Lonchura striata: one gene and its partner. The protein of the gene in region 1 purifies or fractionates together with the protein of each later gene. This does not show direct contact. Links are inferred from orthologs where the notes say so. Each region holds a gene or a part of one and is shown on either strand. Other genes may lie near its edges.

The links. The genes of interacting proteins can lie anywhere in the genome.
Region 2: the proteins of STAT1 (region 1) and PIAS1 purify together in Homo sapiens (affinity purification with western blotting; 5 studies listed by BioGRID). This does not show direct contact. The link is inferred for Lonchura striata from reciprocal best matches to the Homo sapiens genes STAT1 and PIAS1.

Annotation. Positions count from the first base shown.
Region 1 is NC_134610.1:30,435,618-30,442,677, forward strand, and holds the start of STAT1 (signal transducer and activator of transcription 1-alpha/beta), read left to right. Parts: upstream 1-4,059; 5' UTR 4,060-4,142; intron 4,143-4,331; 5' UTR 4,332-4,533; intron 4,534-6,541; 5' UTR 6,542-6,551; coding exon 6,552-6,679; intron 6,680-7,060. Other genes in the region: STAT4 (signal transducer and activator of transcription 4), read left to right, coding at 1,088-1,114. UniProt on the Homo sapiens protein: Signal transducer and transcription activator that mediates cellular responses to interferons (IFNs), cytokine KITLG/SCF and other cytokines and other growth factors.
Region 2 is NC_134613.1:23,417,047-23,424,724, reverse strand, and holds the start of PIAS1 (E3 SUMO-protein ligase PIAS1), read right to left. Parts: upstream 3,010-7,678; coding exon 2,881-3,009; intron 1-2,880. UniProt on the Homo sapiens protein: Functions as an E3-type small ubiquitin-like modifier (SUMO) ligase, stabilizing the interaction between UBE2I and the substrate, and as a SUMO-tethering factor. Catalyzes sumoylation of various proteins, such as CEBPB, MRE11, MTA1, PTK2 and PML.

The sequences.
Region 1 (7,060 bases):
CCCCACCCAATCCAAGAGATGTACTCTCTTATTTCTGTTTTGGTTTATAACATGTGGAAATGGTTCTGGCCTCCTCAAGTGCACTTAGGAACAATGCACACATTTGCTTTCCTGAATTTTCGTCAGAGTAAAGAATAAATGGATTCACTTTCAGTTAACATCAACCTCCAAACATTTTTGGTTTCTTCTTGCATGCACAGTAAATCTCAGATTAGCTCCATTCAGAGCTTCAAAATAAGCTGTGACGATGGCCATCATTCAGGGTCATAACCTGACAAAATGAATGTGCCTAGTTGCAAACTGAAAGTGTTAAATACAATTTTAAAGGTACCAAGATGAATGGTTCAACGCTGCTAGATGGCAAGTGGTATTTCTGTAGGCTCTTACTAGAAATGTTTTCAAGTTCTGCTAGAAGTTGCATGAGAAAAAATAGTTTTAGAAGATTTTTAAAGAATTCTTTCCTTTTCAATTCAATTGACCTTGCTAAATGGAAATGAAGGAAATATGGAGGTTTTTTCTTTATCAAATTCACAAAACAATCTACCCTGCTGAAGAGCTGGCTTAGTATAGCAAGAAGACAATCTGCACTATTAATGCAATACTTTTTCTTCGTGAAATGCCAATAAAAAAGCATTGTGTGAGATACAGAAAACAAGAGTTAAATCTGCAGCAGGACAAAATATCCTGCAATTGACTCAGTCTTAGCAAGATATACTTTCTGCAGCCTTGCTGAATTCCCTTCTATTCCCTCCACCCTGTCCAGCTTCCATTACCCATCCAAAAAAAACAAGACTCCAGGAAGAACCCTGACATACATATCCACAGGCTTCAAGAACCACAAAAGTTTATACAAAAATAAATACCATGCTTATTATTATTGCAATAGTTTTCTACACAGTATCTTCTAAAGAGCATTCTTCTATTTTCTAAACAACTAGAATCAGGATTTCAGATCCTTATCAGTTTTTATGACATTGTCAAAGTGACTTTGCAGTTACCTAGAGCCAGAGAAAGTTTCATTTGCAGTTTCTTTTGAATGAATAGCTGTGAGTGCCATGAGACTAATTCTGTCCTTCTTTTCTTCTAGCTGAGTTCTCCTTACTCAACTGACTGAAGCGCACATACTAGAAAAATCAGTAATTGTGGGAACATTGGATGGGTTAAAGAAGTCATAATCCTGTCACCTCTGAAAGTCAGCTTTTCTGGAAACCATGATGTTATTCTTAGGCCTCTTTCTATTATCAATAACACATAAACAATGAATTTTCTCCCTAGGGAATACAAACAGCCTTTTGCAAGTCACATTTGGTGTTGTCATTGAAAAAAGACCAAATCCTTTCTGGCTTGGGAGTCATTTGACTTCAGTGGGGTCCCAGCAGAGATAACTTTTACTTGCTAATTTAACTAATTTCCATAGAATTGCTGTAAATACGAATGCATAAGAACAAAATGTTTTGCTTCTGAAGACAGTATATAAAGATAACTAAAGACATTAATGTGTTTGGAGAAATTAGGATCTATTATATTAAATACTTTCTGCTTATGCATAATCTTATACACCACTGATTTAGATACTATTTCAAAGTAAAGATTTTTGTTCCCTGACTTTGAATGTTCCAGAGGTATCTGGGGTTTGCTTTACTTCAAAGATGAATTGCCTTCAAGATAGATTTTTATCTGATACCACAGCAGAAGTTGTGGAAAGCAGGTAGGGAAGGCTGGGGAGAGAAGGGAGTTCCAGAAAGGAAGCAGATATAAAACTTGTGGTGTTAGAAATGCTGTCTCCATTTCTCCACTGGAAAAGAGAGTAAGTAAAACTTCCCCTCTCACAAAATAGTTGCAAAAGCAAATCTGTTTGGGCAGGAGATACTCCAGCAAAAATTGTTAGAAAGTCTACAAATAGAAGATCCTGATCTGACACAGTTTGGATGCTAATCAGTCAATGGCAACAGGGAAGCAGTTTTAAAAAACAGTTACTGAAGAGCTGCAGCATTTGCTGACCACCTGGAAATTTGTGCTCCGTGACAGGATATTACAGGCCCGTCACAGCCTCACTTAATAAGCAGGACAACTAGTTTCTGTAAAAATAGTAAATTGCCCTCTTTAAATACTCCGTTTTTTTCTTTCAGGTGTGTTTACTGCTCAGTTTGGGTTGTTTGGTTTTGTTGTTTTAGTTTTATTTCCCCCAGAGTTACCCCTAAAATCGCTGTTCATAGAATAACAAACTGGCAACTCCAAGGCCACTGTATTTCACAAATCCATGTACAATCAGGATGCAAGCCTTGCCTGAAGAACACATGAGTAATGCATGCAAAGTTCTTAAAACACAAAACTTGAACAATTGCACCTTGCTGCTTTCTCAAGCAGGTATAAATGAGACTTCTGTGATGAAAACTCCTTGAATCGGTAAGACATAGATTTACTTTCATTTCTTCTTTCATCCATGCTATTTACTTTAGTTGAGAGTGAGTGAGCGGAAACAAAGTAATGAGGTATTTTTGTGATGCACAGAAGTAGATTTCAAAGAAACAAACGCATCTCTGTTCATTACACTGAGTGATTCAAAGCAAGCTGCACGTAAGTTCAGTAAGCATCACGTATAAAATAAAACACAAGAGCAATTCTGTATATAGCTTGGTAGTATCTGTAACTTATATAACCAGCATGAACAAAATCAGATTTTGGCTTCAAGTTGCATCCGGACCTCTGCGGATTTTTTTTCAAGGCACAGCAAAAACAGTCTTGCTGCCTTTTGGTTGACCTTAAACTGAGCTACAGACAGTAACACATAATTCTAAAGCAGGAAACATGACCTCCCCTAACATCAGCTGTTGCGTGCCTTTTCATTCTAACCTCTTCCCATAATCTTAATACAAACAAAACGGGGGATACCTTTTAGTTTTGACCATCTGAAGTTCATGAGAAGCACTGTAAGACAAGATCAGACATGGCGTGCAAACCAGTCTCCTTTTTCTTTCTTTCCTGTTCTCTATGCAAGGCAACCCTCCAAAACTCTCAAGTATTAACTTCAGCCCAACATAACTGGTGTTTCTGAACAGCATCATGGATCAGATTTTGGCATGACAGCTCCTGCTATTGCTTCAGATCAGATTGCTGCATAGGGTCAACTTAACATTTTGTTGAAAAGATCCGCCTTGAGATCATTTCACTGCTTTAAAGGAACACTGGAATAATTTATCTGTAGGATGAATACATACAGACCAAGCCTCCTTCCTTTTAAAAAAGTGAGAATTTTGTCCTTATGCCATGATGAGTAAGAATACAGCTCTCCAGTGAAACGATGGTGTGGAGGAAAATCACAAAAAAGGGATGCCTAGATACTACCACCAAAAAAAAAAAATTTGCTTTTAAGTAGTTCTACTAACTGTCCTTTTGCTGTGTTTTGCGGCAACAAAGTAAAAATGTAATTGTTTTAGGCTTTGTCTTGGTGTGACGCTGTAATGATCCTAATTAAAAAACATGAAACCTGTCAGTTACTTTCTTCCATTGCTTTTATTCATAGCCATTTTTATAGATCTACTGCTGCCTAGTATTTCACACCACGAAGCTTACCAAACAGATCTACTATTTTTGTCATGAAGTAATAACACCTGGCTCCTCCATCTGAGGAGGGAAGGGGCACAGACTACCCTGGAGAGCTGCAGCAAAGCCTGGCCTTCAGCATCCGCTCTTTGCCGGCTTCCAACACCAGAAAAAACCCAAAAAGGCTACGCTGGACCAACAGACAACGACATGAATGGACACTATTCCTGCGAGCAGGGCTTGGGGTGGGATGGGAACAGCGCTCAGCCTCCTGCAGTTTGTCGGCGCTGGGGCGGGCAGGGCGGGAGGGAAGCGGCGGCTCCCTGAGGGCAGCTGGGGCGGGCGGGAAGCGGCGGCTCCGTGAGGGCAGCTGGGGCGGGCAGGAAGCGGCGGCTCTGTGAGGGCAGCAGCAGCAGCAGCAGCCGCCCCGCCCCGCCGCCCTCAGGGCCCCGCACTAGTTTCGCTTTCGCCTTCGCCGCCTTTCCCAGAAGTCACGTGACGTGCCCGCCGCCCGGGAACGCCCCCGGCCCGCCCCCGCGCATGCGCGCGCGGCTCCCTGAGCGCAGCCGGCGCCGCGGCAGCGCCGAGCCGGAGCCGAGGTGAGGGGAGCGGGCGTGAGGGACCCGGGCGTGAGGGGCCGGGGGATGGCGGGGGGAATGCCCGGTGAAACGAAAGCTTGTCGCTTCCTCAGACTGCCCCTGCCCGCGGGACGCCCACCGAGTTTTGCGCTTTGGTGTACTTGCCCTGGGGAAAGAGAGGTGTCTGCTAGCCGTCTTCATTCCTGACAGGGACGCTCCGGCTGCTCTGTCGTCTGTCGCATCCGCTCTCAAGCCTGGCTCTTTGCTCGCTCTCCGCAGCTCACCCTCTCCGACGCGTCTGCAGAGCTGCCCGGAGCGCTGGAAGCGGGCCCGTGTGCCCAGCACGGCGCTGATCCCGCTGATCCCGGTGATCCCGCTCCTCCGGCGCCGCGGGGCAGCCGCCGCGGAACAGGTGCGCTGCTCCCTCCCGGGGAACGCGGGCACCGGGCCGGCCCCCGGCCATGGCAGGCGAGGAGGTAGAGGAGGGCCAGGAGGGAGTCCTGGGCTGCATCGGGCGGCCAGCAGGTCGAGAGGGGTGATCAGCCGCCTCTGCTCTGCCCTAGTGAGGCACATCTGGAGTGCTGTGCCCAGGTCTGGGCTCCTCGGTACAAAAAACACGAGGAGCGACTGGAGAGGGTCCAGCAGAGGTCACACAGATGATGAGGGATGTGGAGCACTCTCTTACAAGGGGAGCTGGAGCTGGAACAGTTTAGTCTGGAGTAGAGAGACTGAGAGGGGATCTCATCATTACATATAAATAACTCAAAGGCAGGTGCCAAGAAGATGGTGACAAACTCTTTTCATTGGTGCCCACTGACAGGATGAGGAGCAGTGGACATGAACACAAGTTCCACCACGACATGAGGAAGAACTTTACACTGAGGGTGGCAGAGCACTGGAGCAGGTTGCCCAGGGAGGTCATGGACCTCCCTCTTTGGGACTGCTATAGCACACTCAAATGCTGTGTTAGCTGTAATCTGAAAAGCACACAAATCAAAAGCCTCAAAGCCCTCACTTTAAACATAGCATTTTTAATTCCTTTGCTTCTCACACCTAGCACATGCCACTCAGCAGCTGAGGGCACTGGCATATAAAAACAAAAGGATTTGGTAGGAAGGGGCATAGAAGACAGTCCTTCATCCTGATGCTGCCTGTTCTTTTGGATGGGTCTTATAAGCAGTCATTAAAAAACAAAGATGTGAGTGGATTTGCATCTCATCACCCATATTCTCAGCCTGGGCTGTTCCTTGGCATATCTTTACATGCCATTTCCACTACAAGCTGATAACCTGCAGCTTAGAAGGCTAAGTGATCTGCCTCTAGAGACCATACGTCAGAGCTGAAGCCACTCTCACAAAAGTGTTAGGACTGAGAGAAGCCGTTCTGCACAGTCTTAGTTCATTTAAGCACCCTCTATCTGCTGCACAGGTTGCTTGAATTTAGCCTGAAAATATTATCATGAGAACTCAAATGCCGAAAAAAATATCTTTCCAGTACTTCTCCATTTAAGGTAACTTGAGATGTAGTCCATTTTCAGAGCAGGCAAGTGTGGACACGAATAGCAACTGAAAATGGGCACTTAGAGGGCTCTTTAATTGTACACTCACACTTTTGGTGCTGGGGAATGCATCTGCACAAGCAAAAGGTGATACTCCGTGATCAGGATCTCAATTATGCAGAGTACAGGTATCAAACACAGAGGTCCTCATTCCCATATGTGCTAAACAAGAGAGCAGTAACACTAGCAGTACCATAAACGCCATGAAAATGGGTTCAGAGGAAAAGGAAAAAAAAGGAAGCACCACACAGCTACTCACTTCCCCTCCTCCCTGCATGGTGGGATGGGGAGAGAATCAGAAAGGTGAGGCACTTCATGGGCTGAGATAAAGATAGTTTAACAGGTAAAGGCAAAAGCCATGTACACAGGAAAGCCAAAGGGAGGAGTTCAGCCATCTCAGGAAAGCCAGGCTCCATCATGCCTAACAGTGGCTTGGGGAGACAAGCACCATCATGTAACATATCCCCTGTGCCTCCTTCTCCTTCCCCCAGCTCTATGAGCTCGATGCCACCTGGTCTGGAATGTCCCTTGGGTCAGCTGGGGTCAGCTGTCCAGCTGTGTCCCCTCCCAGCTCCTTGTGCACCCCCAGCCTCCTCACAGGTGGGGTGGGGTGAGGAGCAGAAAGGGCCTTGATGCTGTGTAAGCCCTGCTCAGCTGTAACAAAAACATCCCTGTCTTACCAGCACTGCTTCCTGCACAAATCCAAAACAGCCCCATGCTACCTACTGTGAACAAGATAAACTTTATCCCAGCCAAAATCAGCACATCCTCCAATTTTGTCAATGTTCATTAAAACTTAAAATTAGTTATTTTTCACCAGTTCAGTCTGAATACTACTTAAACACTGACTTTTTTTTCACAGCTTCCTCAGAATGTCTCAGTGGTATCAACTACAGCAGCTGGATTCCAAGTTTTTGGAGCAAGTTCACCAGCTGTATGATGACAGCTTTCCTATGGAGATCAGGCAGTACCTGGCACAGTGGCTGGAAAACCAGGATTGGTAAGCCAAGGAATTAAATTAGGCTTTGGGTTGTGTGATAAGCAGTGCCCTCAGAAGTGCAGTTTCAGGCAGCAGCAGTATGCTGGGGAAGCAAGCTGCTAGGTGATCCTTTGCTGGTAGGATGCTTCAGTAGCTGTGTGGGTGCTCTGTGTTCCTGCTCCTTTTAGGACTTTCTAGAGGGGCCTGACACCTGGAGTTAGTGTCCTTGCTCATAATGCTCTCAGTGGTCCAGAACAAAAGTGGCTGTTTTAAGACCAATTAGTTACTAACCTTGGTAGCATCAGTCTCTCACTCCCCAAAGACTCCGAACTTCTGCCAGGCTTTCTGTGGAGTGTCTTCTCTTTGAGGAGTGGTACAACATGCATATGCATCAGGGTCACT
Region 2 (7,678 bases), on another chromosome or scaffold:
AAAGAGATGTAAGAAATATTGAAGGAAAGATTTAATCACTCAAGTATACTCCTTCCAATTAGAAAGAGCTTTAAATAGCTTACCTTGAGATAAATTAGAGTCTGGGTGCAATTAGACAGGAATAGTAATTAAGATCAGGAAAATTCACATACGCCTCAGCCTATGGAGTGAGGGAGAACTCTGCAGCAGAACAAACTTTGCAGTTACCTTGTTTCAGCAGCAGAAAGGAAAACATCCTGCTTCAATTTACCCCAACCTTCCCAGTCCCAGGAATTCAGGAACCTCACCAGGCCGGGATCTGCAAAGCCAGGTTTCACCTTATCTGATTTTTTTTTTTTTCCCCTCCACAGAACAAACAAAAATGGGGGCAAAAAAGGCTGAAAGGCCCTCGCTTGTGGTAAGGAAATAAATTAGAGGAAAGGCAATTTCATGATTAAAACGCCATGAAAAATTGTGGCAAGTAAGACTGACCACTGTTTTTCTGAGGGAGCAACAACTTTAATTTTCCTTTGGCGATAGCACCCATCATATCACATTCCCTAATTTCCACATGTCACATTCCCTAATTTCCCCATACATAGCCCCAGGGTTCTCTGCACAGGAAGGCAACAAAGTTTTAGAAACTTGAGTAAGTTTTTCTAACAAACTTTTTCTGGCCAGGCAAAAGAGTCCCTGCCCAAGTATTACAGTTGATTTTAGTTTTTTAAAGTCACTAAATCTGAAATCAATCCCATTTGCTAATTAATCAGAGGAGAACCGTGCAAGGTTTTACCTAAGAAAATAATTAAAGGAATTCACTGGTCATTCTTCAAAGAGCAGAGTCTTAATCACAAACCGTCCCTTAGCTACTTTCAACTCCCAAAAAAAAGAACTTAAAAGCACGTTTTCTGGGGATTTACTCCTTTTTAAAAAATCCCCAGTGTCCCCAGCCACGATGTCAGAGCTTTCCACATTTTTCTGAGGAGCTCCTGCAGCACCTGAGAGCCTGGAGAGCTGCAGGGTGACAGCTCCCAGCCCAAGCAGGAGATTCTGTGTCCCCTCTCCTTCCTGACGGAGCGGCTCCCACCCACGCAGCTTTTTAATTCTGTACAGTCTAAAGACAAAAAAAAAACAAACAAAAAAAAATCAGAATGTCCTGAGGTCTTCCAAGCATGAATTTATGAAGTAATTACTTTTTTGTTAAGCAAACTGCCAAGCTCCCGTGGCTGCAGAAAAAAAAAATGCCCAACTTTTCACTGCCATCCTCCAGTCCCTGCCTGCAAGTACCACTCCAGCCGCAACCTGAGCAGAAAACTGAAACTGAGAATAAAACAGCAACTTTGGCATTCACCCTCCACATCCCTGAGGCAGCAACAGCACTTTACGAAACATAAATTTTAAAAACTCTGATTTTTCTCTACCGGTTCTCGAGAAGGAGACTTCTAACAGTGATCAATGAAGGGGTTTGGAATGACTTTATTCCCTATCTCCCATCTCTTTGAACTCCCTTTGAGTCACTCTTGCTAATAAAGGCATCACGTAAAGCCAAGCTGGCTGCTGTGCACCACCAAACTCTCGCTGCTACTTACCAAAACACACTATTCCATTTGCCACGCTAAAATTGACAAAAACTTGAGCACTGGAATCACATCTTAACCCTCTGATCTCGTTATGTGGGAAGCAGAGCTTGAAAAGAAAAAAGGCTTAAGGACTACACAGCTCAAGCAATACAATGTGGTCTGAAGACACGCAGAAAAACGAAGGCCAGAGGAGGATTTAAAGGAGGATCTGAAGGGTCCTGACCCACACAAGTCAGAACACACCGAAGATTTAATATTTCTTAACCCGCTGACAGCTCCTTAAGCATCTAAAAACGAAAGCGCACGGTACCTTTGATAGTCAGAAAACCGAGATCTACCAAACCTCTAGGAAAAGACCAAATATTTCCTTAGTCATACCCGAGCCATTCCGTAGTTTATGTTACACGTTTAACACGCCTGTGCCCGTACCCATTTCAGACCCACCTGATTCCAGCCCTTCACTCCGCGAACTTTACAGGAGGAGGAGGAGGAGGCAGGAGCCCTCCCGGTGAATAAGGAGCCTGTGAAAAGTGCGAGGAAACTCCGCAACTTTTCACACCCTGCAGGGTGTGCGGGGCACAAAGTTTCGGGGGGGTCTTTCCCTGGGATTTTCGGGTGGGTGCCTACCACCCTCTACCCTGCCACCGCTCTTCCTCAAAATCGCTTTAGGAAAGCCCAAGTTCCGCGTCGGGCAGAGCGGGAGGAGCTCCTTCCCTCCGGGCTGAGCGCCCGAAAAATCCCCCCAAATCCCCCCCGAAACCGCCCCGGGCGGAGCGGCCGCCGGCCGGGCGGCTCGGAGCGCCCCGTCCCCCCGCGTTCCGCAGCATGACAGGGACCGCCGCCAGCTCAGCGCCGCGGAACTCCTCCACATCTGCCTGTGACGTTCTTTATTTACCGGCGGGCCGCGCCGCCGCCGCTGTCACCGCCGCTGCCGCTCCCGCCGGACTCCCCTCGCAAACTTCGCGGGGCGCCGCGGCGCCGTCCCCCCCGCCGGCCCCCACACCCCGCGGGGGGCTCCCCGCGGCCGCCGCCCTCACCCGCGGCGGCGCCGCCCGGCCCGGCGGCCGCGGAGCGGAGCCGCCCGCGCTGCCCCGGCTGCCGGCGGGGCCGCCCGGCGGAGCGCGGCCGGCGGAGTGTGTGTGTGGGGGGGTGCGGCGAGAGGAGGCAGCTCCGCGCTGCGCTCCGCACCCACCCCGCCTCTCAACCCGCGCTGCCAGCGCGGCCCCGCCGCGGCCGCTCCGGCGCGGCTCATCCCGCCGCGGGCCGCCGCCGGCCGCGGCCCCGGCGGCGCCGCGGGGGGACGCGGAGAGCTGCGCTTTACCTTTAGTTCCGCACTGTCCGCCATCTTGCGACTCCGCGCGCAGGCGCAGTGAACCCCGCCGGGACGCCGCCGCCCCGCCGCCGCCGCCCCGCCCGCCCGCAGCGCGCAGCGTTTGAATCGCGGCGCCATTTTGTGCCTCCTCCGGCCGCGCCGCTCCGCGCCCTCACGCCGGGGCTGCCGCTTCGCCGCGGCTCCCGGGGCCGCCCCGCGGGGCTGGAGCCTCGCCCTGCCCGTCAGCTTCGCCCTGCCCGTAGAGCTTCGCCCTGCCCGTAGAGCTTCGCCCTGCCCGTCGAGTTTGGCGCTGGTGGCGGCGCTCCGTGAGGGGAGCGCGTCCCTGCGGGCGCCCCGGCTGCTCCCCTCAGCCCCGCGGCGCCACAGGCAGCGCCTTCCTCCGGTGGTAAATGCGGTTATTAACACGGGACCGTGCAGCTGCGGTGCGTGAAACAACGCCGATCACCGCGTTTTTAACAGTTTTAGAAGTTTGGTCATAATAAAATTATTATTAAAATAGTAATATAATTAAAGTGTGAAAAACGCTTGGTTTTTAAGATTTTTTAGAAGTTTAATAATAATAAAATTATTATTAAAATAGTAATGTGATTAGAGTGTGAAAAAACGCCAATCACCTGTTTTTTTTAATTTTTTAGTTTAGTAATAATAAAATGATTATTAAAATAGTAATATAATTAAAGTGTGAAAAACGCTTGGTTTTTAAGATTTTTTAGAAGTTTAATAATAATAAAATTATTATTAAAATAGTAATGTGATTAGAGTGTGAAAAAACGCCAATCACCTGGTTTTTTGAATTTTTATGTTTAGTAATAATAAAATGATTATTAACATAGTAATATAATTAAAGTGTGAAAACTGCTTGGTTTTAAAGATTTTTTGAAGTTTAATAATAATAAAATTATTATTAAAATAGTAATGTGATTAGAGTGTGAAAAAACGCCAATCGCTTGGTTTTTAAATTTTTTTTTAAGTATAGTAATAATAAAATCATTATTAAAATAGTAATATAATTAGAGTGCGAAAAACGCCAATCACTTGGTTTTTAAAATCTTTTAGAACTTCAGTAATAATAAAATTATTATTAAAAAAAAATTATTAGAGTAATAAAATTTAGAGTTAGGACAAATGCAAGACAATAAAAAGCAAAGAATTACGGATGTCTGGATGCTCTCGGACACTAAGTCACAAAAAAGCAGACTTTGTGAACAAAGGAATAACCATAAAAGCAACAGCCTGTTGCATATTCATGTATCTCATACATGATGCATAAATTCTTTGCAAATTAAGAACTTTTCTCCTTAAGGTGGAAGAATGTTTGTTTTTTTCTGAGAAGGAGGAACTTTGTATGGGCCCCCTTCGCTGCCATCTCTGTGTGAAGAGTTTCTCGATTATCTCATCCTCCTGCTTGAGCTTGTAACAAATCCTGTATCACAGAGTTTCTATTTTAACATTGTGTTGTAACCTAAAACTGTATTTAACACGCCACTTAAGAGAATTAATACAGCAGAACTTCCTAATGTTACACATATAATATTCATTGTAACATTTGCGAGAAGCCAATCATAAAATACACATTTTTCACAGATTTTTGCTACTTAATGCACAGGTTTGAGACCTCTAGGAGTGGAAAGGGATGAGGCCGGGGTACCTCAGTGGACACCAGCTCCTGGTGTGCACCAAGCTGGAAATTATCAGTTTTTCAGGAAATTACAAGTTTTATTTCAGGGAATTTAAAGTAACAACAGATTTGAGGTCCAAATGCACCCATTTCATGTCAGTTTTGAGTGAAATTTGTGTTCTTCCAACAGCAAGCCAGAGGGGAAAATACCTACCAAAATCCTGCCTGGCAAGATGATGCATCAGTTGTGAATTTGGGAGGATTAAACGTTAGTGTTCAGGTCATTATAGCTTGATTCAGCTTCTTTCTACCTGGGTGTTATTCCCCAAATATTGATCACCATGACAATTTCTCTCCTTGGCCTTCACCTTAATGCACAGAACGGAACAAAGAACAAAATTTCCACTTTTTCCATAGCTGCCGTAAAATCCATCATCCTCCATTCCCAAAGCACTTAGAGGATGGGCACTGAAAATAAAATAAAGATTTCATGTCCCAACTCTGCAGATTCAAGCAAGGAGTGCAGGGAACCTGGGGTAATTACAGAATCAAAATTTATAACATTTGCCTCAGAGGGTTACCCAGGATTTAAAATTAAGTGGTTTGTGTTGAGGGAAGAATGGGAGAGAGGTGTCAAAAGTGTTTAAGGAGCTTTTTGATGCAATGCTGTTTATTGGTAAGAATATTTATGTGCAGTCCTGAGGAAAACAACTCCTAGTAAAGCAGGGATGAGAATGGAATGGTATCAGGATGTGTCACATTCCATCAATCCATGACAAAACTGTATGGATTTTGACCAAGGTGGACAGGTCACGTATACTTAACCTAGAAAGAGAACACATATAAATTATATGAGCATACATAAATAGATGAACATATATAAAAATAAATATATGAACGTATATATAAATGATACGTGATTTTTGATGGCATCATGTTTATGGTGAGCATATATAAAGTCCTGATACGCCCAGCAAAGCAAACAACTCATATCTCTTTCCAAACTTTCCATTTCCAAGCGTTTCACCCAGAAACATCCTCCAGACTGGCAGAAAATCGGGGGAGCTGACACCCCTCTTTCTTCATGCCTCATCCCAACTCCATCGGTGGCCCCGCTCTCCTGGATCCTGCCACACTCAGGAAACGAGCAGCAATTAGAGGAGGCTGATGAGCACACCCGGACAATCCTGCGTGCAATGAAGATTTCTCTCCGCGTCTGAAAGGCTGGTTTGGGGAGGGGGCAGGGTGAGACAGCTAAAAAAAAATAAAATCAGATGACTCCAGCACGCCCACAGCTCCCAGAATTAGCCCATCTATTTCAGTGGTCTGAGGCAGCCCAGTGCAGAACCCTTAATTTGAAATTATTAAATACGTGTCATAATCGTCATCTAACATGATCAATGAGTTCATGGCGAGCTGAAAGAATTCGGCCTTAAAGCTCTGTAATTGTGTGGAGAAAAATCCTTGCTTTATTTCAATTACTTTTGATTTTTTTCCCCCCCTGAATGAGGCTGCTGCACAGCCAAACAGCTTTTCCTCTGCTTCTCCACTTCCTACCAAATTCAGTGGGATGTGGACGTGTGCTCCGAGTGTTTTGCTAAATCATGGCACAACACTATCAAACTTGACACGTGGCCATAAACCACAGCGTCCTCTCTCAAAACTGCCTTCAAATAAAACAGCCCCAGAATGGCTTCGGCTGCATTAAAATAAGGAAGCGAACTAAAAAAGGGGATACAGAAAATCGGGTTTAAAATGCTCCTGCCGGTGTTTTTTACAGCCAAACCTCGCCCAGGCTCTTCATTTTTTTTTTTTCAGTTTGGGCTTTTTGATAGTCACTCCCTTTTCAGTGCAGAATATACTGGAGGATGGAGAAGGAACTTAATGAGAAAAACAATCTGCGCTTCTATTTTTAGGCCATTATTTACATGTAGTGAAATTTTGTTCCTCTCTGCTCCCGAGGCTCGGCTGATGGTTTATTGCCAAAAAAAGCCTTTGTCAACACTCAGTCATTTCCAGAGGTGCTCGCAGTGGCTCCAGCTGTGGCAGTCATGGCAGCACTCAGATCTTAAAAATTAAATTAAAATTAAATCTTCAATTTTTCTCTCCATTTCCAAAAGAAAATACTGGGATGCAGCTGGAGTAAGGGAGAACAGCCCCAAACAATCCTCAGGTTGTCTTGCTTCTGAGCTAAAGCTAATATTTTTTTGAGCTTTGACCTCTGCGGAGAGAGAAAATGAAAGATCAAGATTTCCCTCAAACCTCCACAATTTTGATATTTTCAATTCCCAATTTTCCAAAGTTGTGTTTCCCCCTTTTGGCCGCATCGCAGTAAAATAAATGACTTGAGAATTTGTCTCTTACCCCCCCATTTCTTTTATTCTCCTCTTCTGTAACTTCCCCAAAAACGTATCGTGTCACATAACTCACATGCTCAAAGCCATGTTCAGACACAATAATATTTTTAAAGATATGCATTTTTTTCTGTGAACATGTTGTTTTCATTAGTCCGAGTAGCCAAGAGTTTCTCCTCTTTGTCTAATAATCCAAATTTGCTCTTTGCCTAAAAGTAACACAAGGGCATTTCTGAGCCTGAATAAAACTGATTTAATGATAGACTCTCAGCTATTATTTCTTGATAGAAAACACGACCAAGCCACTAAAATACCTTTACTGCTGAGGCTGTTGCAGGCATGAAATGTGTGAAACACCCTTTTCTGAGGGACAGAAAGAGAAATATTTTAGTGAAAACTACTTGGCTAAAGGAGGAGACAATGGAGTAGCCAATATCTGATTTAAAAAAATACATTTTTTAACTTTATAACAACACATGTGCTGAGCAGGAAGTTGGTGTGTAGCGGGCTGGCACAAACATCTCCCCAAAATCTGCATCCAAGAGCAATATCAGCCCAAATCAGACAATAATTTGTACAAGCTGGGCCCAGACGAGGAATGTCAGAATCTGAGGTATTGATCATTCTGAGATTGTAAAAGTCTCTGTCTGTCAGCCCCGCTGCCAAAGCAGAAGCCATAATTGGTCTGTGCTGGTTTCCAGGTTGTTTATTCTGTTGATCTCTCACATGTTCTGCTGCCCTGCCCAGCTCTGTCCTGCAGGGCAGCGTGTGGGGCTCTGCCCTCAGTGGGATGTGACAAACATTAAATACCAGA